Macaca mulatta: one gene and its partners. The protein of the gene in region 1 interacts with the protein of each later gene in a pairwise test. Links are inferred from orthologs where the notes say so. Each region holds a gene or a part of one and is shown on either strand. Other genes may lie near its edges. The genes, in order: LMO4, myomegalin, GRHL2, ITSN1, KIAA1958, RBBP8 and NFYC.

The links.
Region 2: the proteins of LMO4 (region 1) and myomegalin interact in binary tests that used the Homo sapiens proteins (3 or more experiments, as listed by UniProt). The two-hybrid records come from large-scale screens. The link is inferred for Macaca mulatta from reciprocal best matches to the Homo sapiens genes LMO4 and PDE4DIP.
Region 3: the proteins of LMO4 (region 1) and GRHL2 interact in binary tests that used the Homo sapiens proteins (3 or more experiments, as listed by UniProt). The two-hybrid records come from large-scale screens. The link is inferred for Macaca mulatta from reciprocal best matches to the Homo sapiens genes LMO4 and GRHL2.
Region 4: the proteins of LMO4 (region 1) and ITSN1 interact in binary tests that used the Homo sapiens proteins (3 or more experiments, as listed by UniProt). The link is inferred for Macaca mulatta from reciprocal best matches to the Homo sapiens genes LMO4 and ITSN1.
Region 5: the proteins of LMO4 (region 1) and KIAA1958 interact in binary tests that used the Homo sapiens proteins (3 or more experiments, as listed by UniProt). The two-hybrid records come from large-scale screens. The link is inferred for Macaca mulatta from reciprocal best matches to the Homo sapiens genes LMO4 and KIAA1958.
Region 6: the proteins of LMO4 (region 1) and RBBP8 interact in binary tests that used the Homo sapiens proteins (3 or more experiments, as listed by UniProt). The link is inferred for Macaca mulatta from reciprocal best matches to the Homo sapiens genes LMO4 and RBBP8.
Region 7: the proteins of LMO4 (region 1) and NFYC interact in binary tests that used the Homo sapiens proteins (3 or more experiments, as listed by UniProt). The link is inferred for Macaca mulatta from reciprocal best matches to the Homo sapiens genes LMO4 and NFYC.

The regions. Positions count from the first base shown.
Region 1 is NC_133406.1:153,320,423-153,324,590, reverse strand, and holds the start of LMO4 (LIM domain transcription factor LMO4), read left to right. Parts: upstream 1-1,368; 5' UTR 1,369-1,742; exon of another isoform or gene 1,743-4,168. Other genes in the region: uncharacterized protein LOC144332728, read right to left, coding at 799-1,368. UniProt on the Homo sapiens protein: Transcription cofactor. Plays a role in establishing motor neuron identity, in concert with MNX1, acting, at least in part, to disrupt LDB1-LHX3 complexes thereby negatively modulating interneuron genes in motor neurons.
Region 2 is NC_133406.1:119,875,563-119,879,062, reverse strand, and holds part of myomegalin, read left to right. Parts: intron 1-360; coding exon 361-587; intron 588-2,891; coding exon 2,892-3,035; intron 3,036-3,500. UniProt on the Homo sapiens protein: Functions as an anchor sequestering components of the cAMP-dependent pathway to Golgi and/or centrosomes.
Region 3 is NC_133413.1:111,832,829-111,836,783, forward strand, and holds the start of GRHL2 (grainyhead-like protein 2 homolog), read left to right. Parts: upstream 1-1,155; 5' UTR 1,156-1,189; coding exon of another isoform or gene 1,190-1,408; 5' UTR 1,409-1,509; coding exon 1,510-1,529; exon of another isoform or gene 1,530-1,586; intron 1,587-3,955. Other genes in the region: uncharacterized protein LOC114680429, read right to left, coding at 1,190-1,408. UniProt on the Homo sapiens protein: Transcription factor playing an important role in primary neurulation and in epithelial development. Binds directly to the consensus DNA sequence 5'-AACCGGTT-3' acting as an activator and repressor on distinct target genes.
Region 4 is NC_133408.1:13,742,166-13,746,363, reverse strand, and holds the start of ITSN1 (intersectin-1), read left to right. Parts: upstream 1-1,398; 5' UTR 1,399-1,571; intron 1,572-4,198. UniProt on the Homo sapiens protein: Adapter protein that provides a link between the endocytic membrane traffic and the actin assembly machinery. Acts as a guanine nucleotide exchange factor (GEF) for CDC42, and thereby stimulates actin nucleation mediated by WASL and the ARP2/3 complex.
Region 5 is NC_133420.1:45,741,093-45,745,391, reverse strand, and holds the start of KIAA1958 (uncharacterized protein KIAA1958 homolog), read left to right. Parts: upstream 1-1,499; 5' UTR 1,500-1,530; coding exon 1,531-2,701; intron 2,702-4,299.
Region 6 is NC_133423.1:69,417,563-69,421,062, reverse strand, and holds part of RBBP8 (DNA endonuclease RBBP8), read left to right. Parts: intron 1-1,561; coding exon 1,562-1,659; intron 1,660-3,256; coding exon 3,257-3,369; intron 3,370-3,500. UniProt on the Homo sapiens protein: Endonuclease that cooperates with the MRE11-RAD50-NBN (MRN) complex in DNA-end resection, the first step of double-strand break (DSB) repair through the homologous recombination (HR) pathway.
Region 7 is NC_133406.1:200,033,421-200,036,920, reverse strand, and holds part of NFYC (nuclear transcription factor Y subunit gamma), read left to right. Parts: intron 1-513; coding exon 514-585; intron 586-2,592; coding exon 2,593-2,706; intron 2,707-3,500. UniProt on the Homo sapiens protein: Component of the sequence-specific heterotrimeric transcription factor (NF-Y) which specifically recognizes a 5'-CCAAT-3' box motif found in the promoters of its target genes.

The DNA of each region.
Region 1 (4,168 bases):
CAGCACCCTAAAAGCATTCCTCAAAACTTGATTTATACTAGAAGTGACATTTCTTACTCTCTAGAGGCTGTGAGATTGCAAATCTCGCAATTACTTCCATTGCTTTTGGGGGCTGTGAGAATTTCCGCCTCTCATCCTCCACAGTGAGGAGGGTAGTCGGGCAAGGTTTTCTCCCTGAAGTTTTCGTCAACTTTGAAAATAAGGACTGTGCTCCCTACATCACCAGCAATTGACAAGGATCCAAGAAATGCCTGCTAGGCACTTTCACACTCGGGTAAATGGGGGATGAGGGAGGCTAAGTAGGCAGTATTTAGCTAGCAACTATTATTTCCTTTATGTTTCTACCTTGTTAACTAAGCTTCCACTACGGTTCATAAATCTCCAATATCGTGAATTAAAGAAACAACAACAAAAACCCTCTTCTGTGTGCGTGTGCGTGAGGGGATAGAAGTTCACTGCCCTAAGATGCAGGACTTATCTTCCCAAACAGGAAGATACCCATTTCTGAGAAAGATGGTAAGTTTCCTAAGGGTCTCCTCTCAGATCGAGGGGATGGCAGTCCCCGAGGAGCGAGCGGGAGCGGGTCCTCAGGGTCCCCGTGCGCAGAGAAGGCAGGTGAGGCCCCCCCGCCCCACCGGGTCTCGGCTCCGGATCCCGGGTCGCGAAGGTCAGCCCAAGCGGGTCCCCGGCGCCAGGCGCCAAGCGGGTCACTTCTCCCCACCTGATTCGGGCCCTTCCCTTCTCCTCTGTCGGCCCGCTCCGCCGCCTCACTCTCTCCCCCGCCCCCCGAGTCTCGTTTCAGTCATCCCTTTGTCCTTCCCCGGATTGGCAGGTTTTATTATTCCGCCTGAACAATCCGGCCGCCCAGTGGCTGAGGGTCGCTGACGTCGGAGGCAGAGCCGGGGAGTAGTTGGGATTTTGCTCTGTCAGTAACACATGTGTAAGAGCCGCGGAGGGAGCGAGCGAGCCGGCTAGAGGCCAGCGCCGCCGCCGCCGCCGCCGCCGCCGCCTCCTCCGCCTCCGCCTCCGCGCCGGGCAGCAGCAGCCCCGGCAACAGTCCCGGCAGCGGCGTAGGCTCCAGCGCGTCGGGCCCGGCCGGCCGCAGCTCCCGACTCCTGGGCGCGCCTGCCTGCCGGCCTCCGCACCGTCCGCCGCCGCTCCCCGGGTTTCTGTGTCTGCGGCTGCTCCCGGGCGGAGGTGCAGGGAGCTCAGTCGAGCCGCCGCTGCCAGCCCGGAGCGAGCGAGCGAGCTAGCGAGCGCGCGGGAGGGAGGAAGGCGGCGGCGGAGGAGGAGGAGCGGGAGGAGCGCGAGGAGCGCGGGCGGGGGCGGGGGCCGCCGGGCGGGGGAATATACAAAGTGAAGCCACATTGCCAAACTTGCAGCAGCGATTGCAGCAGTTGCTGCCGCTGCACCGCGCCTGAAGCCGCGTCGCGCGGGCCGAGGGCTCCTGCAGCTGCTCGCGCGCAGCCGGAGGCGGAGGAGAAGGACGAAGACTGAGACTGACACTTCTGCTCCCGGCCGCCTGCCACTTACGCGGGGGCCCCCCAACCCGCCCCAGAGCAACGCGATTTAAAAAAAAAAAGCCGCCCTTAGCCCCCTCCTCCCCTTTCCTGCTTCTGCGAGAACTCCCTCCCTCCCTCCAGCTCCGCCAGCCCAGGCGCCCCTTCCCTGGAAGCCGAGCGGCTTCGTTCGCATTTCACCGCCGCCGCCTCTTGCAATATTGCAATATAGGGGAAAAGCAGGTAAGGGGGCGGCTGGGGGAGCCGCGGGCCGGGAGGTGGGAGAGAGAGGGAGGGGGCCGATTCGGGCCAGGGCTGTTTTCTTTGGCTTCCTTCCCCTTACCGTCCCAAATTGCAAGTAAACAATACGTCGCCTTAGATAAAGCGCGAGTCTGAAACTACCGAGGCCGGCCTGCGAGCTAGCGCGGAGGGCAGCCCCGGGCCGCCAGCTTTGTAGCGGTTCCTGCTTACAAAAGGGCTCTTCTTGGAAACGGGGCTGGTGGGGACCGTAGAGGGGGTGGGATATTTCTAGTTCATGAGGGAAAGGGCAAGGGGTGCTTAGATGAGGTTTTAAGTATGAGAAGTAGTGTGTTTGGGGGGGTGGGGGTGGGGATAGTCACGATAACCCCCCCCTTCTAGTAAACACTAATTTTGAAACAGTGGCAGGAAGGGTCTAAGTGAGCAGGATTCGGTATTGCTAGTTCTTTTTAAAACCTCTTGGTTTATAAGTCTTTTGTTACAATCCAGGAGAAATACGGTGAATCACCTAATTAAAATCAAGACATGAATTAAGCATCCATTTTTGTACTACAAATTGCCAGCGTTACGTTTGTCCCTCCCTTGGTCTCCATTAAAAAACACCAGAGACGTTATTAAAGGGGGGCAGATTTTGCCTCTAGCTGCCAGTTCTGCTTTCTATTTCACTGACTATCCCAGGACCTAAATTGCTTGGCTATGTAATTACTAGAGTATAAGCCTATTTAACTTAAAAGCTTTCTTCTTCTTTTTTTTTTTTTTTCCAACTCTAAATGAAACTTGATGAGGGCCCGTCCTTAGTTATCAGGGGAGTCAGTTTCTGGTCAGTCCTCTTGATTCATCTCTTTTAGATTTAATCAGCATTAAGGTATTGCTTGTCCTTAAGAGCTTTAGCTAATGGGGTTACTGGATGCTTTTCTCAGTGTAATGTTTCCTTTTCAAAAAAAAAAAAATACATATATATTTACCTCTCACTAAAGATGGGGGCGGGGAAGAGCTGGGAATCTCCTCCCTCTCTCCTTTTAAAAAGGAATTCGGAGCGATTAAAACGTTGGGGGAAACAGTTTAAAGACCTAGGGCAGGAAATGCAGATTCATTTGGGTTAGGGCTGAAATTGTAACAAAAAGCAATTCCTCGAGTAAATGCATCAGATAAATCAATTTACATAAAGGTATGATGCATTCGGATAAATGCAATGCTAATGGGTTTTAGAGTGGTCCTGTTTCCAAAGTCTCAGGGTTTTGTTACAGCTTAATTGGTGCAGTTCTTATTCTGGTTTATTGTGCGGTCACTGGACACACGTTCCGGGACTCTTTCGGAGGAAATGTGTTTAAAATCGGCCTATTTAAGGAACCCGAGTCCCTGTTTCGTTCGTTCCTTCCTCGTTTTTTTGCAGCAGCCAAGTTGGGCCGGGGACAGGCAAAGTTCGCCTTCTTCTGAGGTATCAGCTGAATGTCTTGAGCAGATAGCCGGGAGCCTCAGGGGGAGCCCACACTCTCAGCTTACAGAGGACAAAGACAAAACAGGCTGCTTAATTGGCAGTAAATAACTTGATCTTTTTATAGAATAAGTGACTAGAGGAACACTAGGACTTTATTGGACTCGGAATTGAAGGCAACAAATTAATCGGTTTAGGCTAAGCTTTATAAATTGATTCCTATATTATATCCCAGTTGCATCTCTTGTGGCATTCATTAGAGTGGGGAATTCTTTTTTAAAGCAGTTTTTGGTGACAGCAGAACGGGCTCGAATTTAACTTGTGCATCCCTTAATGCTGCCTTCTCGCACGTTATCTGTAACGCCGACCCCCCCCCCCTTTGGAGGAACAAAGCTTTAGCATTTAAATTGCTGATCAAGGGCAGATTAGTGAGACCAAAGTGGAGAGTGTTTGTATAGGAAGTTAACAGGCATCCTAAAGTTCAATGATCTATTATTCTTGCCTGTGTCCTGAAAACCCAGAGAAAACACTCATTGATCTTCAAAATGAAATGAGATTTGGAACAATAATGGGAGATGGCGGTCACCACAATGGCATGTGAAAGGTGCTGCTTAAAATACGAAAAACCAGTTTCGCAACTTTACACACTGCACCCCCTCTGCCGTCACCTTGCCTTCCCTCCCACCACCACGCTCTCCATCTTCCGTCTGCCGGTCCCTCCCTCCTTCCCTTTCGGAAAACCGAACTATTTCCAACTTGTGAACTCCTGCTGCACTTCCCAGGGCAGAGCCCGGGAGGGAACGAGGCTCCGGCGGGGCCGTCGCCTCACCACTCCCCTCGACTCTGTCCCGGGGCCCGGCGGGGGCTGGGGAGGGGCCGGGCACGGCGGTGGGTGGGTTTGACCCTCATTTGCTGCAGGCGGGCGGCGGAGGAGGGGGGCAGTGGGCGGAGGCGGGGGCTGGGAGGAGGCGCCGCG
Region 2 (3,500 bases), about 33 Mb from region 1:
CATTGCACCATAATCTCTCCATTCTTGAAAATGTTCTCTGTATCCAGCTTGATTTCCTTGTCTGTGTCTTCTCTACCCAGAAACTTATTATTTATTATGATTTGTCCTATTTCATTGGCCAATAAGAAAAAATTGTCCCCTGGCAAATTTATCATTAAGAGATGATGTAAGAAAAATTACAAAAATATAGAAGCCAGAAGATCTCTATGGTCTTTGCCCCACCCTTGTACATTCCAAGGCTTCCTTTCTTGTTCCCAGCCTCTTCCTTTTCTTGTCTCCTACCTCTTCTGAGTTGGAGCAAACCTAGGATATCATTATGAATAACAGAGGATTCTGTTGTGTTGTTATTTTCTTTTCCAGGCTTGGGTTTGGATACTTCTCCAGTAATGAAGACCCCTCCCAAGCTGGAGGGTGATGCTACTGATGGCTCCTTTGCCAATAAGCATGGCCGCCATGTCATTGGCCACATTGATGACTACAGTGCCCTGAGACAGCAGATTGTGGAGGGCAAGCTGCTGGCCAAAAAGATAGTGTCTCTTGTGAGGTCAGCGTGCAGCTTCCCTGGCCTTGAAGCCCAAGGCACAGAGGTAATCACACCTGTAGCTTTAGATGCACTGTTTCCTTGTGCCCTTTCTTCCTTTGATGGTAACTCCTTCTCCCACCATTTTTGTTTTTGTTTTTGTTTTTCGTGCTTTGCATCTCTCAACAGCTGAGGCTTCCTCTTCCATGTACAGCAGCCAGGCCCTGTCTTCTCTGTCTCCTATTTTCACTGTCAGTTCTGCTCTGTTCCAGATGTAGCTGACTGGATATTTCCCCTCAGCCCCACAGAAACATGTGGCATTGCCTAGCAGCCTTTGGGAGCTTTTTTTTTTTTCCTCTTTTCTTGTTTTTATTATTATACCTTAGGTTCTAGGGTACATATGCACAATGTGCAGGTTTGTTACATATGTATACATGTGCCATGTTGGTGTGCTGCACCCATTAACTCGTCATTTACATTAGGTATATCTCCTAATGCTATCCCTCTCCTCTGCCCCCTCCCCACAATAGGACCTGGTGTGTGATGTTCCCCTTCCTGTGTCCAAGTGATCTCATTGTCAAGTTCCCACCTATGAGTGAGAACATGCAGTGTTTGGTTTTCTGTTCTTGAGATAGTTTGCTGAGAATGATGGTTTCCAGCTGCATCCATGTCTCTTCAAAGGACACGAACTCATCCTTTTTTATGGCTGCATAGTGTTCCATGGTGTATATGTGCCACATTTTCTTTTTTTTTTTTTTTTTTTTTTTTTGAGACGGAGTCTCGCTCTGTCACCCAGGCTGGAGTGCAGTGGCCAGATCTCAGCTCACTGCAAGCTCCGCCTCCCGGGTTCCCGCCATTCTCCTGCCTCAGCCTCCCGAGTAGCTGGGACCACAGGCGCCGCCACCTCGCCCGGCTAATTTTTTGTGTTTTTAGTAGAGACGGGGTTTCGCCGTGTTAGCCAGGATGGTCTCAATCTCCTGACCTAGTGATCCGCCCGTCTCGGCCTCCCAAAGTGCTGGGATTACAGGCTTGAGCCACCGCGCCCGGCCATGTGCCACATTTTCTTAATCCAGTCTGTCACTGATGGACATTTGGGTTGATTCCAAGTCTTTGCTATTGTGAATAGTGCCACAATAAACATACATGTGCATGTGTGTTTATAGCAGCATGATTTATAATCCTTTGGGTATATCCCCAGTAATGGGATGGCTGGGTCAAATGGTATTTCTAGTTCTAGATCCTTGAGGAATCGCCACACTGTTTTCCATAATGGTTGAACTATTTTACAGTCCCACCAACAGTGTAAAAGTGTTCCTATTTCTCCACATCCTCTCCAGCACCTGTTGTTTCCTGACTTTTTAATGATCGCCATTCTAACTGCTGTGAGATGGTATCTCATTGTGGTTTTGATTTGCATTTCTCTGATGGCCAGTGATGATGGGCATTTTTTCACGTGTCTGTTGGCTGCATAAATGTCTTCTTTTGAGAAGTGTCTGTTCATATCCTTTGCCCACTTTTTGATGGGGTTGTTTGTTTTTTTCTTGTAAATTTGAGTTCTTTGTAGGTTCTGGATATTAGCCCTTTGTCAGATGAGTAGATTGCAAAGATTTTCTCCCATTCTGTAGTTTGCCTGTTCACTCTGATGGTGGTTTCCTTTGCTGTGCAGAAGCTCTTGAGTTTAATTAGATCCCATTTGTCAATTTTGGCTTTTGTTACCATTGCTTTATGCAGGCACATGACCATCTGTGGGCAGAGTTGACACAATGGGGTGGACAGAAACTGAAGGATTTGCAGGTGTATGGCCCCCACATGTGGAAGGGGTGAGAAGCCTGGCAGCCATGGCATTTCCTTGTGCAGACTGCATAGAGGGAGGGAAGGCAGTCAGCAAAGCTTCTCAGAGCGCCTTGCCAGTGAGAGAGACCAGGCACCAGGGCTGTGCTGTCTGAGCTGCTGGAGACCCATGGATGCGTAGGGACAGCCCTGCCTCCACGGAACCCCACACTAGAGGGCAAGACACACACACAAGTAGATCAGCACAGTAAGGGGCTACAGACACAGCATGAGAAGCCATCCTCTGTGCTGTGAGGCCGCCAATGCAAACGTGGTCATTTATCTCAGGCAAGGAAGGTAACAGGTTCATAGAGGACACAGCAAGGGGGGTGAGTTTTGAAAGCCTTGTGGGTTCTGCAGGTGGAGGGAGGCATACCTGGTAAAGGGACCAGCACCTTAGTTCTGAGAGCTGCAAATGGTTGTGCGAGGGCTTCACAGTTCAAGCAGGCCCATGTTCTGTGCCTCACTCACAAAGGAAGCGGGAGCCCATGCAGGGGGAAGAAAGTAATCTCTCCGCTTCTGTGGTGTTACCTTTCCCCAGGTGATGGGCAGCAAAGGCATACATGAGCTTCGGAGCAGCACCACTGCCCTGCACCATGCCCTAGAGGAGTCGGCTTCCCTCCTCACCGTGTTCTGGAGAGCGGCCCTGCCAAGCACCCACATCCCTGTGCTGCCTGGCAAAGTGGTAAGATGCCAGTGTCCTTTCTTGGTTTGAACCCAGTTTTCCTGCCCTCCAATACTGTTCTGTCTCTTCAGTGTCACAGCTTTTCAAGAAAATCGGGAGCCACATAGTGAATTGGGATAGACAGGACCTTAGAGGAGTGTCCCTGGAGGGACATCTCTGACCCATGGTGGCTGCTTTCATTGCAGCTGTAAATACATCCCATTCCCCACCAACCCCCTGGCCCCTGGATAAAAAATCAAGAAGAGGAAGGGGTGTGGAGAAGGCGGAGACATCATAACCCTGGCAATCCATAAAGGTTCAGTTTCTTTACCTCTCTGAAGTTTGGCTGAGCTGAAATTCAGTTAAAGCTTCAGCACCCACCTCCCACCCCTCAGGTCCCACGGTCACATGATCACAGAATGCCCCCATGAGACTGAGCCTTTTCAGCCGCTGCCTGGAATTCCAGCATATCACTTCAGCTGGCAT
Region 3 (3,955 bases), on another chromosome or scaffold:
TGTTTTATCGTGTAATTTTCAGAAAATATGTGATCCATAAGATTAAAAGAAAAGTTGTATTAAGTCTGGCAGCTTTAGTATTAACTTGAAATAAAATATGGTAAGCTTTCCACGTCCTCCTTTGTTTCCACAATCCATATGTACGAGCTAGATCCCAGTCAGAACTTCCACAAACACTTCACTCTTTGGTAGCGGCGGTTATAAATTACACCTCTGCTAATTTGCATTGTTCCCAACCAGGAGAAACATTACCACAAAAAAAATCAGTTTCATCCTGCAGTGTTTCCGTAGCAACCATATTAAGCTGGAAGAATAAAGCACCTTTGTAGCGGTAGCGTCTATTGAATTACAATGTAAACGTTGATGCCTGCCTGGAAACGTCAAATGACAACAGGTTTACAGAACGAATTCAGTGGTTGTTTGCAGCTCTGGAATCCCAGGCTGCAGAGTTGAGATCGAAGAGGTGCGCCTGGCCATCTTAGTGTCCATTCAACCAAATCTCCTCACTCCATCAAAACCACGCCACTCCCCACCTGCCCAGCTCGTAAAAGGATGCTCACCTGCTTGAAAATCTGTAATATATCTGATGTCTTTTACACAACAGGACGCGAAAAGTGTTTGTTGTGGATAAGAATGTTAAAAATTCAATTACGCAACAGACCAAACTTTGTGTTTCTTTCCCCCTCTCAGCACAAAGTAACTTTAGTCCCGTCCTCTTCTGCCACTGTCAAACAGCCCTGTTACTGTGGGCATTAAATGCCTTGTGGCGTACTGCGCATTTGATTCTGGTTGACTTGGGATACCTGAGCTCGGCTCTCATTAGTTCTTCCGCTCGACCCATAATCCCTAGTGTTTGCAGGTGTTGCATTCCCCCAACCCCTTTCTTCGCTTCAACCAGTACCCCCGACCTTCCCATCCCTGCCTTGGAGAAGGAGGAAAACGCAGCTTGAGGTCTACTCGAAGAACTGACCCTCAGCTCTCACAGGCTGCCGCCGAGCTGCAAGCATGCCGCCGCTCCACTCAGGTAAACTTCGGAGTGAGTTACCTTCACTTGGAGAAGGGCCTTACCTGAGTGCGCCTCTGCCAATGGCAGCTCACCTGAGGGAGCTCCCCAGCCAATCATCGCGCAGCTCGTCCCTCGGGCTTGTACCCTTTAGTGAAAGAATTCAGCTCCTTGCGAGAAAGTTACCTGTGGCCGCCCAAGTCCGCCACTTTCTGCTCTGTGTCTGCCCATTGCCACGATCCAGGAGGACTCCGCGCCGCCCGGCCGCCTCCGAGCTCGGGCCCCATGTGAGGGGCCCCCCCTTATCCCACCTTTCCGGCTAGGTGAGGGCGCGAGCGGGCGAGCGAGCGAGAGTGGTGAGGGGGGACGGAAAAGCAGAATTACCTGTAGCTCTTGTTCTGCCATCTCGGGCGCTCTCACACACCTTCACCTGCACAGACTTGAAAGTCCAGTTTCACCAGAGGCTGAGGCTCCAGGAAAAGGGGAGCAAGTTCATTGGATCAAACATGTCACAAGAGTCGGACAAGTAAGTGGATCACACGCGCCGGCTGCTGCTACTACCACTTTGGGCTGATGGCAACTGGTTTGTTATGTTTTTGTTTTTGTTTTTAAGTTGCTATTGTTGGTATTTTTCTTTCTTTTTTCTTTTTCTTTTTGGTGGATCCAGACTTTTCCGCATTATGTTTCTACCCTGATTAAGAGGAGAAACCCTACAACAATGTGAATGTTTAATATCCCCTTTGGGCCTTGATAGTAAAAGTGGGTTTTCCTTTTCCTTCCTCCCTTAGGAATGGTCTCAGCTCCCGCTCCCGGATGAATACTTGGATATTGCCAGAGGTTTTGGTAGATGGGCGCGGGAGGCCTGCTCTTCCCCCTCTGCTTTAGCTGCTCCCACCGATCTGGCGTTTAGGGCCATTTGGAAGTTCAGCTGAGTTCCTTCGATTTGTCCAAAGGGCCTACTGGAAAAGTGGGGCTTGGCCGCTTTTGTGTGACCGCAACAAAGAGCTTTTATACCGAGGCAGAAACGGCCATCTTCTCGCACCGGGCAGGAGGGTGGGCGTGAGTGCGCGCCCGCCTGTGGCCCCGAAGGGAGGCGAGGCGCTGGGAGGCCGGGGGGCGCGGGGGCGGCCGGCGCCGTCCCCCACTCCCTCGACATCCCGCCTCCCTCCTCCCCTCCCCCGCCTCCCTCCCCCGGGTCCGCCCCCGCATTGTTTGGCCACCTTCCTCAGGTGCCCGGGGGAAAGGACGGTTCGCAAAGTGGGGGAACTCATGTGAGGCCTCGAGTTAGGGCCTCGGCGGGGCGCCAAGGGGCGCCTGCTGCTGAGCGATTCACCCGCGCCCCGACGGCGGCTGCAAGCCCCTGGAGCTCGCGGCCCTCCACGCAGTTGGCCGCCAACTCGGACGCGGCAGGCGGGACTGCGTGGGGCGCGCAGAGCCTTCTTGGGGTGCTCTCGCCGTCAAGGCCGGGGGCTCGGGGCGGGGGGAACGCTGGGCTCGCGTCCTTCCCGTCCCGGACAGGCACTCCAGACGCGCCGGCGAGCCACAGCCTGCGCGGCCGGAGTCGCCCGCGGGTCACCGGGCCCGGTCTGGCCGCGTCCTGACGGCCTCCCCGCGGGCCGGCCCCCGCCCTCGGAAGGCTTTGTGCGATCCGGGGGAGGTGGGGCCTGGGCGGGCGCGGGAGGGAGCCGGAGGTGGGTCCCGCGGCCTTTCTCGGGATTCGGCGGGGACACTCCCTTCCCCCTCCTCTCGGGCGCGTCCGGGCCTGGGAACTGGCTGCGTCCTATTGGAATGCGCGGGGCCGCCCTTTTGCTTTCCCCGGTAACTTTGCCGTGGCGTTGCGGCCACCCCGAGGTGGCCTTCCTGAAGGCGTGTCGCCGGAGAGGGCCGGTGCCCCAAGGCCGCGGGCCGCTGGGCCTGTCATGGAGAAGTGGTGGGGACCCGTCCCAAGTTGAGGGACCACGAGGAAGGAGTGGGAAGGCCCAGCGGATCTGTTCAGGGGTGAAGGGGAAGGACTAGCTTCAACATAAAGCCGCTTGGTAGGTTAGGCGAACCTAAGAAAATGCGCTGTCATACTTAACAAGCAAAAAACTGCCAGATAGTTGTACCCCGTTAGCCACCGATGAGGAATTAACCGAGTACAGCATACCGGAGGGGAAGAACTAGCGTTACCAACACAGGAGAGGGTCTGAGGCAGGGTAGGAAGAGGAGAGTGTGTGGTCGTCTGAGAACACCCCCAGCTCTTCCCTAAATCTTTCTAGTCTTTAAGGAAACACGACTCGAGTTTGAAATTTTCAGTAGCCAAATCCCGAGGCGACAGCAAGTTTTTGGGGTTTGTTTTGATCCTTGCGTGCGTCAAAGATGATTGCAAATCTAGTTTAATTAATCGCGCAATTAACGTTTAGTTTGCTTAGTTTTGTGATACAACAGGACTCGAATTCTGAATGAAAACGAGTCGGTCTCTATTTTCACCAGTTATATTTAGCAGCAATAAGAACAATGTGTTTACCACCAGAAATAAGTACTGAGCGCCCGCAATCTGGTTTCACCACACACATCACCTAGTTTTTATGGGTGATAAGTATCTGGGATTACGTCTGCTTACATTTAATGAACGTTGCTTTTATCTAGTCGTGGTTTCCAACACGAAATTTTGTATCCTGGGAAAAGTAATGGTTACAATGGTGCAAAGAGACAATTCGACCTGGTTTGTTTCCTCTCTCATTGGGCTGTTGAAAATGCTTTAAGTCAATACATGACTTCTGGATCATTTCTGCGAATTCTAGCCCAGTTTTCTTAATATTAATATTCTAAGGGAGCCCTGGCAGGGGTGGGTCTGAAGCTTATGCAACTATGTGTGTGAGATGCGGTGGGGACTGTAAGGAAACGGGCCCCTGGGCACACCATGGGGCTTCCTTCCTGAGCAAGTGAGAGGCTTCGTGAGCCTCATTGAAA
Region 4 (4,198 bases), on another chromosome or scaffold:
CGCACCCAGACCTATGCCAAGGCGATGCTTACATCTCGCTCCAGATGATTCCGCTGTTTAGCGTAATGAAGAGGGCCGATGTGGCTCAAAAGCCACATACAGCGAATAACTACTAACTGCTTTCCCAAAACAGCAAAGTGATGAGGAAGAAAAAAGTAGCTGAGAAGAAGTAACAGAGAAAGAAAAAGACACTCAAATTCTAGGAACAAAAAGCAGAGGAGAAAAACCCAACCTGGGAGATTAAGTGGAAGGGCACTCCCAGACCTCTACCTCCATAAAAGTACAGGGAGATGCAAACTGAGATAAGACCTACAATAAAAACCCGTCAAGGTCCAAGGAAACTGTCCCTCAAATCTAGTCTTACCCACCCCTCAGCGGCCTCAGCTAAGCTAGGCCTGGGCCCGAACAAGTCCCAGGTTGGGGTTCGACGCGAACCACCATCCTCCCCAGGGCTGCACGGTTCCGCGGGGCATCTCTCCACCTTTCGCTTAAAGTCCCATTTCCCAAGACACAGGACGCTTTTTCCGGGGCTCACCTGCCTCTGAGCCGCCACAACGGCCTGCACCTTCACCACCGCCACCTTCAAGTCCTTCCGCAGAGAGCCCGCCCCCTGCTCCCATTGGTCAGGCCGCTCGTCACTCCTGAAGGGCGGGGTCGGACTCGCGAGGCTGTCGAGAACGCCATGGCAACCAGTCTTGGAACTACATCTCCCGTGATGTTCCGCTCGGGGGCGGAGAAAGAGGCGAGGCACCGCCCCAAGGACTACCAATAAATGGGCGAAGTTGGAATCGCCTGGATGGGTTCCGTTTTATGCAAATCCTAACCGAAGATCACACCCTTCCTCATTCCAACCATGGGCCCGGCCAACCCCTCTGGCTTGTGCTTCGCCTCCTTTATCCTTTCCACATTATTCTCTCCTTTAAAACCTCCAATAATTAAGCCAATTAAGTGCATTCTATCTAGTGCCTCGCACGGCAACGAGCAGATGCACCGAAATCGTGCAACAAAATCTCCATAAACCACGATAGGCAACCTCAGACCAGAAATCTCCGGTTACGCCTACGTGGGGAAGAGGGGGAGAGTGCTAATCCTGCCCCCACTCAGCGCCTGCTGACTGGCTCATTCAGCTTGTCACTCTGTCGTCTTACATTTCTTTGGCTCCCCTTCCTCGGGTTAGCACGGTGGGCGGGGCCAGCGGTAGAGGGCGGTGAGAAGGTGCGGGCCCCTTCTTCCGATTGGCAGGCGGTTTCCCCACCCACTTATGGGCGGAGACGGAGGGTGGATGGGGGGCGGGGGAGGCAGCGGAGGGAGATGAGGAGATAGGCGGGAGCGAGGGAACGAGGGAGGGAGCGAAGGAGGTAGAGAGGAGTGGAGGCGCCAGGGGAGGGAGCACAGCTTGGTTGCTCCGTAGTACGGCGGCTCGCGAGGAAGAATCCCGAGCGGGCTCCGGGACGGACGGAGAGGCGGGCGGGGATGGTGTGCGGGGCTGCGGCTCCTGCGTCCCTCCCCGCGGCGCGTGAGCGACACTGATTTGTCCCTGGGGCGGCAGCGCGGACCCGCCCGGAGATGAGGTGAGGAGAGGACTGCACGGCGGCGGCCTGGACCGCGGGCAGCGGCGGCGGGGGCGGGGGTCGGCGCGATGGCTGCCCCGGGCGTCCGTCCCGCGCCCGGCGCTTGTCCCCCCGGCCGCCTTTAGCCCCTCGCCGCGCGCCTGGGAGACGGCAGCGGCCGCCCCTCTGCCTCGTCCTTCCCGTCCTCGGGGGCGGCGACGGGATGGCGGGCGGACCCGCACTGGGAGGCCGGGGGCTGCGGTGGGCCGTGGGGTGATGGCCGTGGGACGGGCGTAGGGATGAATGGGCGCCGCGGCCCCGCCGCGGAGCGGGCTCTCTCCTGCCGCGGGGACCCCGGGCGTCCGCTCCTTCCCAGGCTGACCTCGCTGCCCTCGGCCGCCGGCGCGGGGCGGCCCGGCCTCGCCTCCCGCCGGCCTCCCGGGGACCCGCGCTGGCGGGAGCGGCGTCGCCTCTGCCTGGAGCCCCGGCTCCTTCCTCGCTCCCTCGCTCGCAAGCCTGCGGAATCCCGGGTCAGTGAAGGGCAGGCAATGCAGTTCGGCCCCAGGGCGCGCCGCGGGGCCGCCCCTGAAGGCATTTAACGGAGAGCGGCTCCCGCGCCCTGTGAGCGCGTCCCCGGATCCGCCGCGTCCCTTGCCTTCTTACGCACCGGCACGGTTTTGTGGTGTGGACCTGAGGCACAATTGCAGTCCCTTGCTTGCACGAGGGAATGCAATCAGAATTCCTAAAAAAAGGAAACCGGCGAGGAATCGGCCGCACCTTCCTGCGCCTCTGCTTGCTTTGGGGTTAGAAAACAACTTCGGAGATTACATTTCCTATGGGCAATCTTTTGTTGTGATTCAGACTCAAGAAGGCTTTGCTTTGGAAGAAATAGATTAGCGGCTTCTCTGTGGAGTTGGAGGCTATAGAGATTTTTATAGCCTCTTCAATATGAAAGTTTCCTCTAGAACTTTGCCATCATCAGTGCTATTCTGAGGGCAGCAGCAACCTGGGAATTTAAATATATGCAGGCTCCGGCCAGATGCGTTTCTTTGTGCTTGTCTGTTGGCATTCTTCTCTTGCTGCTCCCCTTGATCAAAATGTACAGATAATAAAAACAAGGCCAATGAAAAGGGAGGCTAATAACAGCAAATCCCATACAAACAAATGCCTCTAGAAATTCTCAGTTCTGTCAGCGGGGAGGCAGTTTTGCTAATCCCGTGGAACGGATGAAGAGAAAGGCACAGATATCTCATGGATTATGTAGTGGACAGGATGTGAGGGCAGGAACTGGGGCCAGGACACAGCAGGCCAGCTGGTTTGCATGGTGCCACTCTAAACCCCCAAAATTTGAATAGGAGGAATGTATTTGTTGGGATACCTTTATTTTTAGATGACTTGAAGGTTGAGAGTGCGGAAGCTTAAACACCCTTCATAGTTATTATTTCTTAGTTTATCTCTGAGAATAAAATATGCTTCTGTTTAAAATTTCTTTTACTGGTGTGCTTGAAACGTTGTTTTGATGGGAGTTTCCTTGTAAGTAAAAACATTAAAAATTACATACATATGAAAGAAAAATCGCTAGTGCAGATGGGTTTGTAAAGAATCTAGGGACTTTTAAGTCATATAAATTAAGGAGTGAGGGACACTAATTTGATGCTGGTGTTAAAATTATTTCAGACACCTTTAAGTAGTCCAGTAAAGATCATTTCTCATAGTATGATCTTTTTTAAAAAATGGTATTTCATTATCTAGGAATGCTTCTGTTGAAATTGCTGGGGCGCATGGTACCTTCACAAAACTCTATTATTATTCTGCCTGAGTAAGAGAGGAAATGAACAAATTTTTAATGTACTTTGGAACCCTCTGGATTGCTCAGATACTAAGCATTGTGAAATAGGGCATAAAATGAGTGGTAGCAAGTTAGTTCTGTGAAATGTTTGTCCTTCTTAGATTTTTTTTTTTTTTTTTGGCAGTCGACTAGCAATTTTCTTTTCCCTAAGGTTTATCTTCAATATTGGTAGTAGAACCTCTGCTCAAGTTTCTCTTTTCCCCAAATACCTAGATTGGGGCAAACTGTCAAACCTCCTGTAAGAGGTTAAGGAGGAGCTGCTGGTAATTTCTTTTTTTCTTTTTTTTCTTTTCTTTTCTTTTCTTTTTTTTTTTTTGAGACAGGGTCTGGCTATGTCACTCAGGCTGGAGTGCTGTGGTGCAGTCGTGGCAGCAACCTCAACCTCCTGGGTTCCAGTGATCTTCCCACCCCAGCTTCTGGAGTATCTGGGACCACAGGTGCACGCCACCATGCCCAGCTAATTTTTAAAATTTTTCTAGAGACGGGGTCTCTCTATGTTGCTCAGGCTGGTCTAAAACACCTGCCTCAAACGATTCTCCCACCTAGGCAGCCTCCCAAAGAGCTAGGATTAGAGGGATGAGCCACCATGCCTCGTCCAAATTTCTCTACTCTAAATCGTTTTTTTAATTTGCTAAAATTTGGGAGTTGTAGAGAATTGATGACATGAGAGTTTGGATTATGTTTGCGCCTCAAATTCTTCTGCCATAGAGCTGTTCCCTTCTGAATGATCACTTCCTCCTGACTGGCTCCACTTACTGGTTGGGTTTCTTAAAGTGTGGACCTCAGATCACTTACATCA
Region 5 (4,299 bases), on another chromosome or scaffold:
GGCATGGGTGAAGGGAAGCTAAATAAATCTCTGATGCAGAAAGGGGGTCTGGAAAGATGCCAGTAGGAGGTAGCCTCAGGTTCAGTTTTGAAGGGGCTGGCCAGGTGAGGAAAGAGAAGGGCAGCATATCAAGCAGAAGAATGAGTTTCTCACCAGTAGGGAGTTTAGAGAAGAGGGGACCACAAGAAGTATGGGAAGAGGACATGGTCATAGGAAATGAGGCTTGAGAGGTGGCCATGGCCACATCAACAGAGACCTTAATAGTATGTTAAAGGATTTGAACCTACCTAACCTCCCTGACAGGGTGCCATGGAGTCAGGTCAGGGAATGGCTCAGGTGTCTGTCCACTTTGGTGTAACCACCTGACATTGTGGTTAGACCGTGGTGCCTGAGTGCAGAGCACCAGCAAGTCACCTCTTGTTACCCACATCTGCAGATAGCCAGGGCCAATAAAATCACACATAAAGATTCCTGTGCCTCCCTGCCCAGTGCTCCCAGGACCCGCCTCTTGGCAAAGCCTTACTAACCTTTCTAGCCCCTTGCAGACTCCACATGTCACCTTTCACTTTCCTACCCATCATGTTGTCCTCACTCTTCAGGGACTCCTAACAAGGGCTTCTTTTTGTCTCCTGCCTAATAAGGAATGATTTGCTTCTATTTGATGGTTGGTTATGCTTGGCTTTATGGGACCCTCAGATGGTGGAAAACACCAGACATACTTTGTAACCTCTAATGGTGGGATGAAAGGCAATATTTCAGGAATTGCAGGCAGCCAGGAGACAGGAAGCCTGATCCTAAGAGTGGTTAGAGCAGGGCCTCCTGCTTCCCCATCCTTGCTGCTTCGGTCTACAGCCTGCCCCTCCAGCAGGTCTTTTCCCGGTCTGTTCTCCCTCCTCTGCTGAATACTTTTCTTTCCCATTTCTCAAATCGAGCTCCTGATCCTCTCCTTGGACTCCTAGTTGCATTGTCGTCTGGTGCCCAGCAGAGAACTGGCGTCCTTTCTCTGACCTCTATCCTAAGATGGATCCAAACCTCCTTTGTTGGCTCTGCCTCTAGTAGCGAAGTTTCTGACATCAAAGGGTGTCATTGGAGCTGCATCCTCTTGGTTAATGCAAGTAATAGACACAATTTTATTATTGAGGGACCATCTGAACCTCTCTGTCGGTGACTCTGGAAGTAAAATGTACCATGGAAAAGCTCATTTCTTTATTACTTGTTTCTTTTTCCTTCTCTCCTTTTTCCCCCCTTAGGCAGGAATTATTACAACAATAAAGAAAACTAACAAAATTTTTCTCCAAATCCCACAACCATGAGTCATCAGCTGTTTTTACTTTTCCTGATATTCTCTTCCAGTCCCTGCTCATCTACAGCGACATTAACTAAATTCGGTTTTGAAGTGCATTTCTTTTTTATGCCAAATGATCATATTTGGAACAGACTGAAGTAATCGAGCTATAGGAATATCTTGGGTAATAATGGCTTCTTCTTTTGATTATTTCCCTTTAGGAGTGACACTGCTGATCCTGTAACATGGAGGATTGTCTTCATACCTCATCTGAGAATCTGTCCAAATTGGTCAGCTGGGCCCACAGCCATGGGACTATTTGCAGCCTCATTCCAAACCTGAAACACTTGCTTTCTGAAGGTTCCCATGGGAACCTGACAGCAATGTGGGGCTGTAGTGCTGGCCATGCTTATCACTGGCCGCTAACAGCTACTTGCAGAGCTGGGTCCCAAGAGAGGGTCTGTTTCCAGGATAACAGAAGTTTTAACTCTGATAGTCCCAGTATAATCGGGGTGCCCTCTGAGACACAGACTAGCCCTGTTGAAAGGTACCCTGGGAGACCAGTGAAAGCAAAGCTAGACTGTAACCGGACCAGAGACTCTTGTGACTTCTCCTATTGTAGTGAGCCCTCTGAACTGGATGAAACTGTTGAAGAATATGAAGATGAGAACACCCTGTTTGACATGGTTTGTGAGTCTTCTGTTACAGATGAGGATAGTGACTTTGAACCCCAAACCCAAAGGCCTCAAAGCGTTGCTCGCAAAAGACCTGGGGTAGTCCCATCTTCCCTCCATTCAAGCTCCCAGGCGCAGATGGTTGACGAATGCAGCAATGATGTCATCATCAAGAAAATCAAACAAGAAATCCCTGAAGATTATTACATTGTGGCAAATGCAGAACTGACAGGAGGAGTGGATGGACCAGCCCTATCCTTGACACAGATGGCAAAACCCAAGCCTCAGACTCACGCTGGTCCCTCCTGTGTAGGGTCTGCTAAACTGATTCCCCATGTCACATCCGCCATCAGCACGGAGCTAGACCCACACGGTATGTCTGCATCCCCCTCTGTGATCTCCAGACCAGTTGTCCAGAAGACTGCTAGGGTATCTCTGGCTTCACCAAACAGAGGCCCCCCTGGTACCCATGGCACCAACCAACAGGTGGCCATGCAAATGCCTGTGAGCACATCCCATCCTAACAAACAGATCAGTATCCCCTTGTCTGCCCTGCAGCTGCCTGGACAGGATGAACAAGTTGCCTCTGAAGAGTTCCTGTCCCATCTGCCCAGCCAGGTCTCCTCCTGTGAGGTAGCCCTTTCTCCCTCAGTTAACACAGAGCCAGAAGTGAGCTCCAGTCAGCAGCAGCCCCCAGTCGCTCCAGCCATAACCACTGAGGCCACAGCACAGTGCATACCAGGTATGGCATATGAGGCGACAGCGAGTCCCTCATCCACGCACGCCAGAATTCTGCGCCGTCAGCACTTCTAAAACCATTCACTCCAGTTTGCTAGAATTCAGTCCTTTGTTAGTCATGGAAAGATAGAAACAATGACTCTTATGTCCAGGTGATACTATAAAGGAAATTCATAAGAATTAAGGCCATAACCAGTTGGCATACCTTAGGGCTGAGAGGACAGCTGTAAGATTGTTCTGTTGATATTGTAGCGTTAGATTTAAGGTTGATACTTGTCAGCTGAATTTTTATATAGTAAAGTTATTTTTGAAAGTTTTAAAAATACGTTTTTCTATCAGTAGCAAGGTGTTTAGTTGTTGTTTGAAGCCAAAATGATGTTGAGTAAGGCATATCTTGACAATAGACCTAATGCTTTTCCATTATTATTTATTTGACTGAGCCAACTTGACATTGCTATTCATTTTAGTTGGTGTGGTAGTTAATAAGTTTTTTAAAAAGCAATAGACATTTCTAAAAGAGGTATTTGATCTTTTCTCTTAAAATTTAAAAGAATACGGAAACTTGGATTTCTGGAATCTGTGAGCCTAACTGGAATGGATTGAGAGGAGAGTGAAATAATTGTACGAGGCCCCCGCACCTGTAATTCTAATGTTCTAATGTTCTTTAATTCTGACATTCAATATTTATTTAATCTGGGCCATTAGTATATAAAGGGGTTGGGTCTCATGCTTTTGCCTTCGTGATTCAAATCTAGTAGGTTAGAATAGAAACGTGGACAAGGACAAACAAATGTGCAGAAATCTGTGGCATGTTTTAGTTTATTTCAGCCCTTCTCAAAAACGTCGTGTATTTTGGGAAATGCTTCCTAGAAGCCTGAGGCACCTGTGCCTTTATCCTGAAACTTCCTTGGATTAAGTTGCTTTACAAACTTTTTTTCCAGTTTTAGTTTCAACCTTAAGATTCCCAAAGAAGACCTTCAGTTTATGATTTTTGTGAAGACATAGTCGTGGTGTTATTAAGAAGATATTCACTGAAAATATTTCTCTCCTGATTGAAGATCATGCTTTTCAGTTTATTCACTTTTCTCTTTTTTAAATAATAGTTTTATTGAGATACCATTCACATATCATAAAATTCACTCTTTTAAAGTGTACAGTTCAATGGGTTTTGGCGTATTCATAGCATTGTTACAACCATCACCATTATCTAATTTCAGAATATTTTCATCACCCCAAAAAGAAACCCCATACCCTTTAACAGTCACTTTTTCCCTCCTCCTAGTTCCTGGCAACCACTAATCTACTTTCTGTCTATGGATTTTCCTCTTCTATATGTTTCATATACGTGGAATCATGTATTATGTGGTCTTTTGTGACCGCCCTCTTACGCTTAGCATAATGTTTTCAAGGTTAATCCATGTTGTAGCATTTCTTTCCTTTTTATTGCCAAATAATATTTTATTGTATGACTATACCATATTTTATTTTTCCTTTCATCAGTTGATGGACATTTGGGTTGTGTTCGTACTTTGGCTGTTATGAATAATGCTGCTGTGAACATTTGTGAACAGGTTTTTGTGTGAGTGTGTATATTTATCTTGC
Region 6 (3,500 bases), on another chromosome or scaffold:
CATGTTGCCAAGGCTGGTCTCGCTCTCCTAAGCTCAAGCGATCCACCTGCTTCGGCCTGCCAAAGTGTTGGGATTACAGGCGTGAACCGCTGTACCTGGCCTCACTTTCTATCTCTTCCTGGAGGAATGTCACCTAGAGTCAGTAGTCTTCTCTCATTCATATGCTAATAAATCCCAAACCGGTATCTCTGTCCAACTTTTTTCCTGGATTCCCAACCCGTGTATCTACCTGCTTTTGGATATCTCTACAGGGATATCCTTCAATTTCAGCATGTCTACAGTTGACACTTAACCTGTCAAACTAACTCTTTATCCTTGCATTTGCAATCTCAGTGAATGACACTATACATGCCTCTTTGAGTCATCCTAGATTTCTGCTTCATCTGTTTTTTCTCAACAGCCTCTAAGTTTTACTGATTCTACCTCCTACATATCTGTTTTACATATTCTTCTGTGCCCCTATTATACTAGTTTAGGCTACTAACATCTCTCATCAAGACAACATGTTCTAGTAATCTAATTAGTCCTCTTGCCTATTAGTGATTGCTTCTTGCCTAGTGAGTGTCACAGCCACAAATACCTTTTCAGCCCACACATTGCATTTGTTTTATTTAAAACTCTTAGACATCTCTTCATTGTCTACAGGATAAATTTGAAACTCCTTAGCATAATCTGACCCCTAACCAACCTAACTGGGTTCATGTCCTACTCCCATCTTCTGCAGTTTGACTTCTGGCAGTCAAACCACGCATAGCAAACCCCAAACAAGCAATTTTATTTCACTTATCTAGACCCTTAATTATACCTAGAATTCTTTCTGTCCCAGTCCAGTTAACTTGACATATTCTTCCTTCTCTTGAGTCAGCTTAAGCATCACTTATAACTTTCCTTGATTTCCCAAGAGATTTAGAAGTCCTTATTCTATGTTTGAATCACCCCTTTTATGTACCTTTATTATAATATGTTTATCACATTCTGTTGCAATTCTCTTTTTACCTTGCAACTGTATAAGCTCCTTGAGAACAAGAACTTTTCTTTTCATCTAGTGCTTAGCACAATACCTGGAACATAATAAGTGCTCCATAAATATTTGAGTTAAACCTTTATAAAATACTAGAACATAGGTGATTTATGAATATGTGTTATCTTAACCTGAAACATGCAGTGCTGACAACCTCTCCTACAAAGTATGTTTTCATGAAAGATACCGTACATACAGTTTGATATTCATGCTGTAACATAAGTCACAATAATTCCACTGTAAATCCATTTTATGATTTTTTTCCCCAGTGGCAATAAGAAAAATTACCTATTACATTCAGTTCATTTAGGAAAAACATAAAATTTACTTGGAAAATTTTAGCATGCATGGACCTGCAACTTATTGCCATTTATGGTAGGTATATTGGACTTCTTGCACAGAGTTTTAAAATGGGTCTAGTGCCATCTTACAAACTATGAGCCTTTTCCTTTCTCTTTTGTCATTTTAATATGTCTAGCTTCTACAGTTTTGTAAAGTTGGTTTTATTATTTATTAAAATGGTTTATTATTTATTCTTAGAAACACATGGAACAAGCAGCTGTACCCCTGATAAGTCATCTTTTAATTTAGCTACAGTTGTTGCTGAAACACTTGGACTTGGTGTTCAGGAAGAATCTGTAAGTAATTGTTTAGTTTGGCAATAACATGAATTAATTTTATATCTTTTTAGGTCAGTTCTTAGAGAATTAAGCAAGAGAATTATTTTATCTAAAGATCTTGAGTAAAGGCCTAAAACAAAACTTATGTTGTTAGAAAGTCCTATTTCTGTTGTCCAGCCCAGCAGTCTCAGAAATCTAGAATCTAGAATTCTTGGGATATGGGTTGAGTCAAAATTTAGGGGAGTAATCACGGCATAGAGATTTTGTCAACTTTCTTCACTTCCCCCTCTCTCATGCCCACTCCTTGCCCTCATCTAAGAGATAGACCTAAACCTTTAGGTTGATTTCAGAATTGTTGTTTTGTTTGTTTTATTTTTTAGAGATAGGGTCTCACTGTGTTGCCCAGACTGGAGTGCGTGTCTATTCACAAACACAATCATAGAGCACTATAGCCTCAAACTCCTGGCCTCAAGTGATCCTCGCATCTCAGCCTCCCAAATAGCTGGGACTACAGACATATACCACCATGCCCAGCTAATTATTTTTGTAGAGATAGGGGTCTCAACTGTGTTGCCCAGACAGCTCTCAGACACCTGGCCTCAAGAGATCCTCCTGCTCAAAGTGTTGTTGAGATTACAGATATGAGTCACCACATCCAGCTGTACTCTTATTAAGTTGTCTTGCTGTTGAATTTCTAAAACTTGAATTGGTTTTTCATTACATAGGGATTTGTTTGTCCTTTCTAGTTTTAAATTCATTCTTAAATGATAATGGGTAGTTTTTAACCTTTGAACTTTGAATGCATTTTAATACTTTCTAATTCCCTCCTACCCATAAACCTCGCAAGTCATAGCTTAGACACCAAATAGATCGAAGGAGCTGAAATCTAATGACTTGCTGCTCAACGTGTGATCCATGGGCCAACAGCATCTGCATCACTTTTGAAGTTTGGTGGAGATGCAGAATCTCAGACCTACTGAACTTGCATTAACAGGATCTCCAGTTGACTTGTATGCATGTTAAAGATTGAGAAGCACTGTTCTGTAAAGGATTATTTTAAATTCATCTCCTATCAGTATGAATAATTATCTCTATTCCCTTCTGCACATCTTAATGTTGTTTTTTGGAATTGGAGTTTTATATGCAAGTAGTAGAATATACTTATGTAAGACACTGATGCTTTTCTCTTTAAACTTAGAATGTGCTTCATATTTTTCATTGTGGTGAAATTAACAATCATTTTGAAGTGTACAACTCTATGATATTTAGTACATTCACAATATTATGCAGCTATCACTTCTATTCAGTTCCAAAGCATTTTTATCACCTTCAAAGAAAACCTCATACCCATTAATCGTGTATCCCCATTCTCCTCACCTCATTCTTCCACCTCCCACTTGCATCCTCTGGCAACTACCAATCTGCTTTCTGTCCCTATAGATTTGCCTATTCTGAATATTTCATATAAATGGAATCATATGTTATATGGCCTTTGTCTGGCTTCTTAGTATATTTTTGAGGTTCATCTGCATCGTAACATATATCAGTACTTCATCCCTTTTTAAGAATGAACAAATCCCATTACATGGGTGTGCTTCCTATTTTACTCTTGAAGGAAACTCAAGGTCCCATGAGCCCCCTTGGTAATGAGCTCTACCACTGTCTGGAAGGAGATCACAAGAAACAGCCTTTTGAGGAATCTACAAGAAATACTGAAGATAGTTTAAGGTAATCACGGGCACATTGGTGAAAACTTACAAGCTATTGGTGAGATCCCATTACAATGAATTCCATATAATTAAACCATTTCTCTCCTTCAACATATAGTTGGTTATTCTGGTTATATACATTTTTACTTT
Region 7 (3,500 bases), about 47 Mb from region 1:
TAGTGCAAATATCAGAAATAGCCACTGTCAGCTGTGAAGAACTGTGGGTCACTGTGGTCAAGTGCCCCGGCGTTACTGTTACAGTTTATCACTGAATGGAAGAAAGAACTGGAACTTTAGAGGAATACCCCTGAGACAGAAATCTCATTTTAATCTGCATATTGCAGACTGGTAAACTTACTTGGAAAAAAAGTGAAGGCGCTCATAATGTCCCTTTATGTGCTGACGAAAACAAACAAACCAAAAAAAACAGATATTGCTTGGGGCTCCGTTTCATGAGGGCACTGTTAGAGGCCATCCTAAGCTTTTTCTAAAGCCCACTAATTCTTTGAAGACCTGCATATGTTAAGAAGAATTTTGCTCTGGAGCTTGTATTTTCTTCATTTCATCTGTACCTCCTCTCCCGACTTCCTGAAGAGAGGGATTAAGCCAGAGTGCTTCCTGCTGCCTGTCATGCTTTGCCACACTGTTGATTGTGCCCACCATTTATGCATCTCTTGTTGTTCATTTCAGAAAGACTTCCGAGTGCAGGAACTCCCATTGGCTCGTATTAAGAAGATTATGAAACTGGATGAAGATGTGAAGGTGAATTCACATTCATTTTTATTATTTCTTATTGAAGCTGAGTGATGGGTAGGTTATTGTTCATTGCTCTAGAGCTCAAAGTTTAATTAAACAAGAACACACAAAAAATTACTGTCTGTTGCTTTGTTATTTGATTCCTGTTTAAAATTGTTAAGTGAGCCAAAATTGAGCAGTTTTGGTTACTATATGGATCATCCTGAAAATTAAGGATATCCTGGGTTTTTTAGATGTTGAAAAAATAGTAGTTGTTGGTTTTTGTTTTTTCTTTTTCTTTTTTTTTTTTTTTTTTTTTTGAGAGTTTTACTCTGTTATCCAGGCTGGAGTGCAGTGGTGTGAGCTTGGCTCACCGCAACCTCTGCCTCCCAGGTTCAGGCAATTCCCATGCCTCAGACTCCCAAGTAGCTGGGATTACAGGCGCCTGCCATCACACCCAGCTAATTTTTGTATTTTTTGTAGAGACGGGGTTTCGCCATGTTGGCCAGGCTGGTCTTGAACTCCCGACCTCAGGTGATCTGCTTGCCTTGGCCTCCCAAAGTGCTGGGATTACAGATGTGAGCCACCGCATCTGGCCTTTTCTTTCTTTTTGAGACAGGGTCTCACTCTGTCACCCAGACTGGAGGGCAGTGGCATAATCATGGCTCACTGTAGCCTTTACCTCCCAGGCTCAAGTGATCTTCCCACCTCAGCCTCCCAAGTAGCTGGGACTATAGGCACATGCCATCATGCCTGGCTAATTTTTAATGTTTTTTTGGAGCAGGGGACAGGATCTCACTGTGTTGCCCAGGCTAGTCACGAACTCTTGGACTCAAGCAGTCCTCCAGCCTCGGCCTCCCAAAGTGCTAGGATTAGGCATGAGCCACCATGCCTAGCCGGTATCTCACAGTTCCTTTCACAGTGTAGCATATACGTGTATCATCAAGTCAACAGGACAGTGCCATCATCTTAGCATCTTATATAGTTTGTTGATCTGAACTCTTAAGAAATTTTTGATAATGATATTCAACCTGCTCTAACTTTTTGATCTGTGAGTTTCTTTTACATGAATAACACTTGTGAGAGGGTTTGCTTGGGCTTGGCCATTTCTGTATTCCTAGGAGTCCATCTCCATTATAGATCTCAGAGAAAGAGGAACTCTGTCTCTTTACCACTCAAAATTAATAGTCTTTTGTATTTTCACAGAAAGCTAACAATTGATAGCAATTTTCCTTTTTATTAGCTCCTTTCTTCCTAACAGTAGCCCTGTGAGATTTGATATAACAAGAATTATCAGTTCCTTTTTACAGATAATGGAAATAGACACAAAGAGGTTAAGTGACTCACCCAGAGTGCTAGGACCAAGATCGCATTTCCCATCTGCTGCTGCTTTAACTCCAGAGCTCTTTCTGTGATTGTAGCCTGCACAGACTACCTCACCAAAGGTTTAGAACCTTGTTTGACCAAGAGCTTCAACTTTGAAATCAGACACATCAAGTTTATATGGCTTGAGCACTTCCTATGCGCCAAGTCCTGTGCTGGGTACATATATTATCTCATTTGATTGCCACAATAAAACTGGAAGGTTATCCTCTTTTTCAGTGTGTGAAAAACAAAGCCCAAAAGGATGGGAAACCTGCAGTTTTACCCAAATCCATTGGCTTTCAAGCTCATTCTCCTTCCCCATATTGTTTCTCCTTAGATTAGAACCTAAACCCTGCCACTTATTGGCTCTATGGCTATGGGCAAGTCACTTCATCTCTCTTAAACCCTAGTTTCTTTGAAAGGCTATTATAAGGGTAAGAAAGCACCTTGCACAAGGTTTGGCACATGGTAGGTGCTAAATAAGTATTCTTTCTCCCTGTTCCCTGCTTTATTCCTACTCATGAATTTATTTTACCTTGGAATCTCTTGAGCATACCACCTCATTTTTTGACCCTTGCCCCATAGTCCCATGCCAGGCAATGAGGCAAGAGACAGACTGGTTTGAATGACTTGCTGGTGATTGACAGGGAGGGCCTGTGTCTGTTACAGATGATCAGTGCAGAAGCGCCTGTACTCTTTGCCAAGGCAGCCCAGATTTTTATCACAGAGTTGACTCTTCGAGCCTGGATTCACACAGAAGATAACAAGCGCCGGACTCTACAGGTATTATTGCAGACTTAGATTAGGAAAACTGGGGTAAGCAGCCACCTTTGCCTGTTCTCCTGCGTGGCTTTGGACCAAAGATTGTTCTTCTTTAGGCCTCTATCAAGCTGACATGTAATTGGCATCTCCACTGTTGGGAGGCAGACATATTTTCTAGCCATGGTGATTGTGTTTCTCCACCAAAAATCTTAATTCTCTCCTGGTTTTCACAGCTTAGTGACTGAACTCTTTTCCCTTGGTGAGCCCTCACTATAAACAGAGGCTCAAGTGATAGAGTATTTATCTGTTTCCAGACGTAAACAACTTCTGCTTGGGAGCCTTGAGAGATTCCAGGAAAGGACGGTTCCAGGAAGTATCAGCGGTCTCACTAGCTTCATTAGGCGTTTTGTTCCTTATCTGCCTTCCTGGGAGTCCTCTTCTTCTTCTCCTTCTTCTTCTTCTTCTTCTTTTTTTTAATTTTAATTTTAACCCAGCAAATCCACATACATACTGTATGCAGAGCCCTTGGTCATTGACTCTAGAAACCCTCACCCTATAGCCAAGCCCTGGCTTTTAGAGGAAAGCTTTCCCAGATACAAGAAGAAGGGTGTAACAAGTATAAAACAGTGGCACTATTTTAACAGTGAAGCCAAGAAAATAAATTGTTTTCTCTTCTTGTTTCCCTTTACCTGCAAAGTAGAAAATACATGTGTTTATTCATTTATTCTAAAAATACTTAACTGAACACCCACAATGTGTGCCAGGCACTTCTCTAGGCTCTGGGGATTAACGATACACAAAACAGACAAAAATCC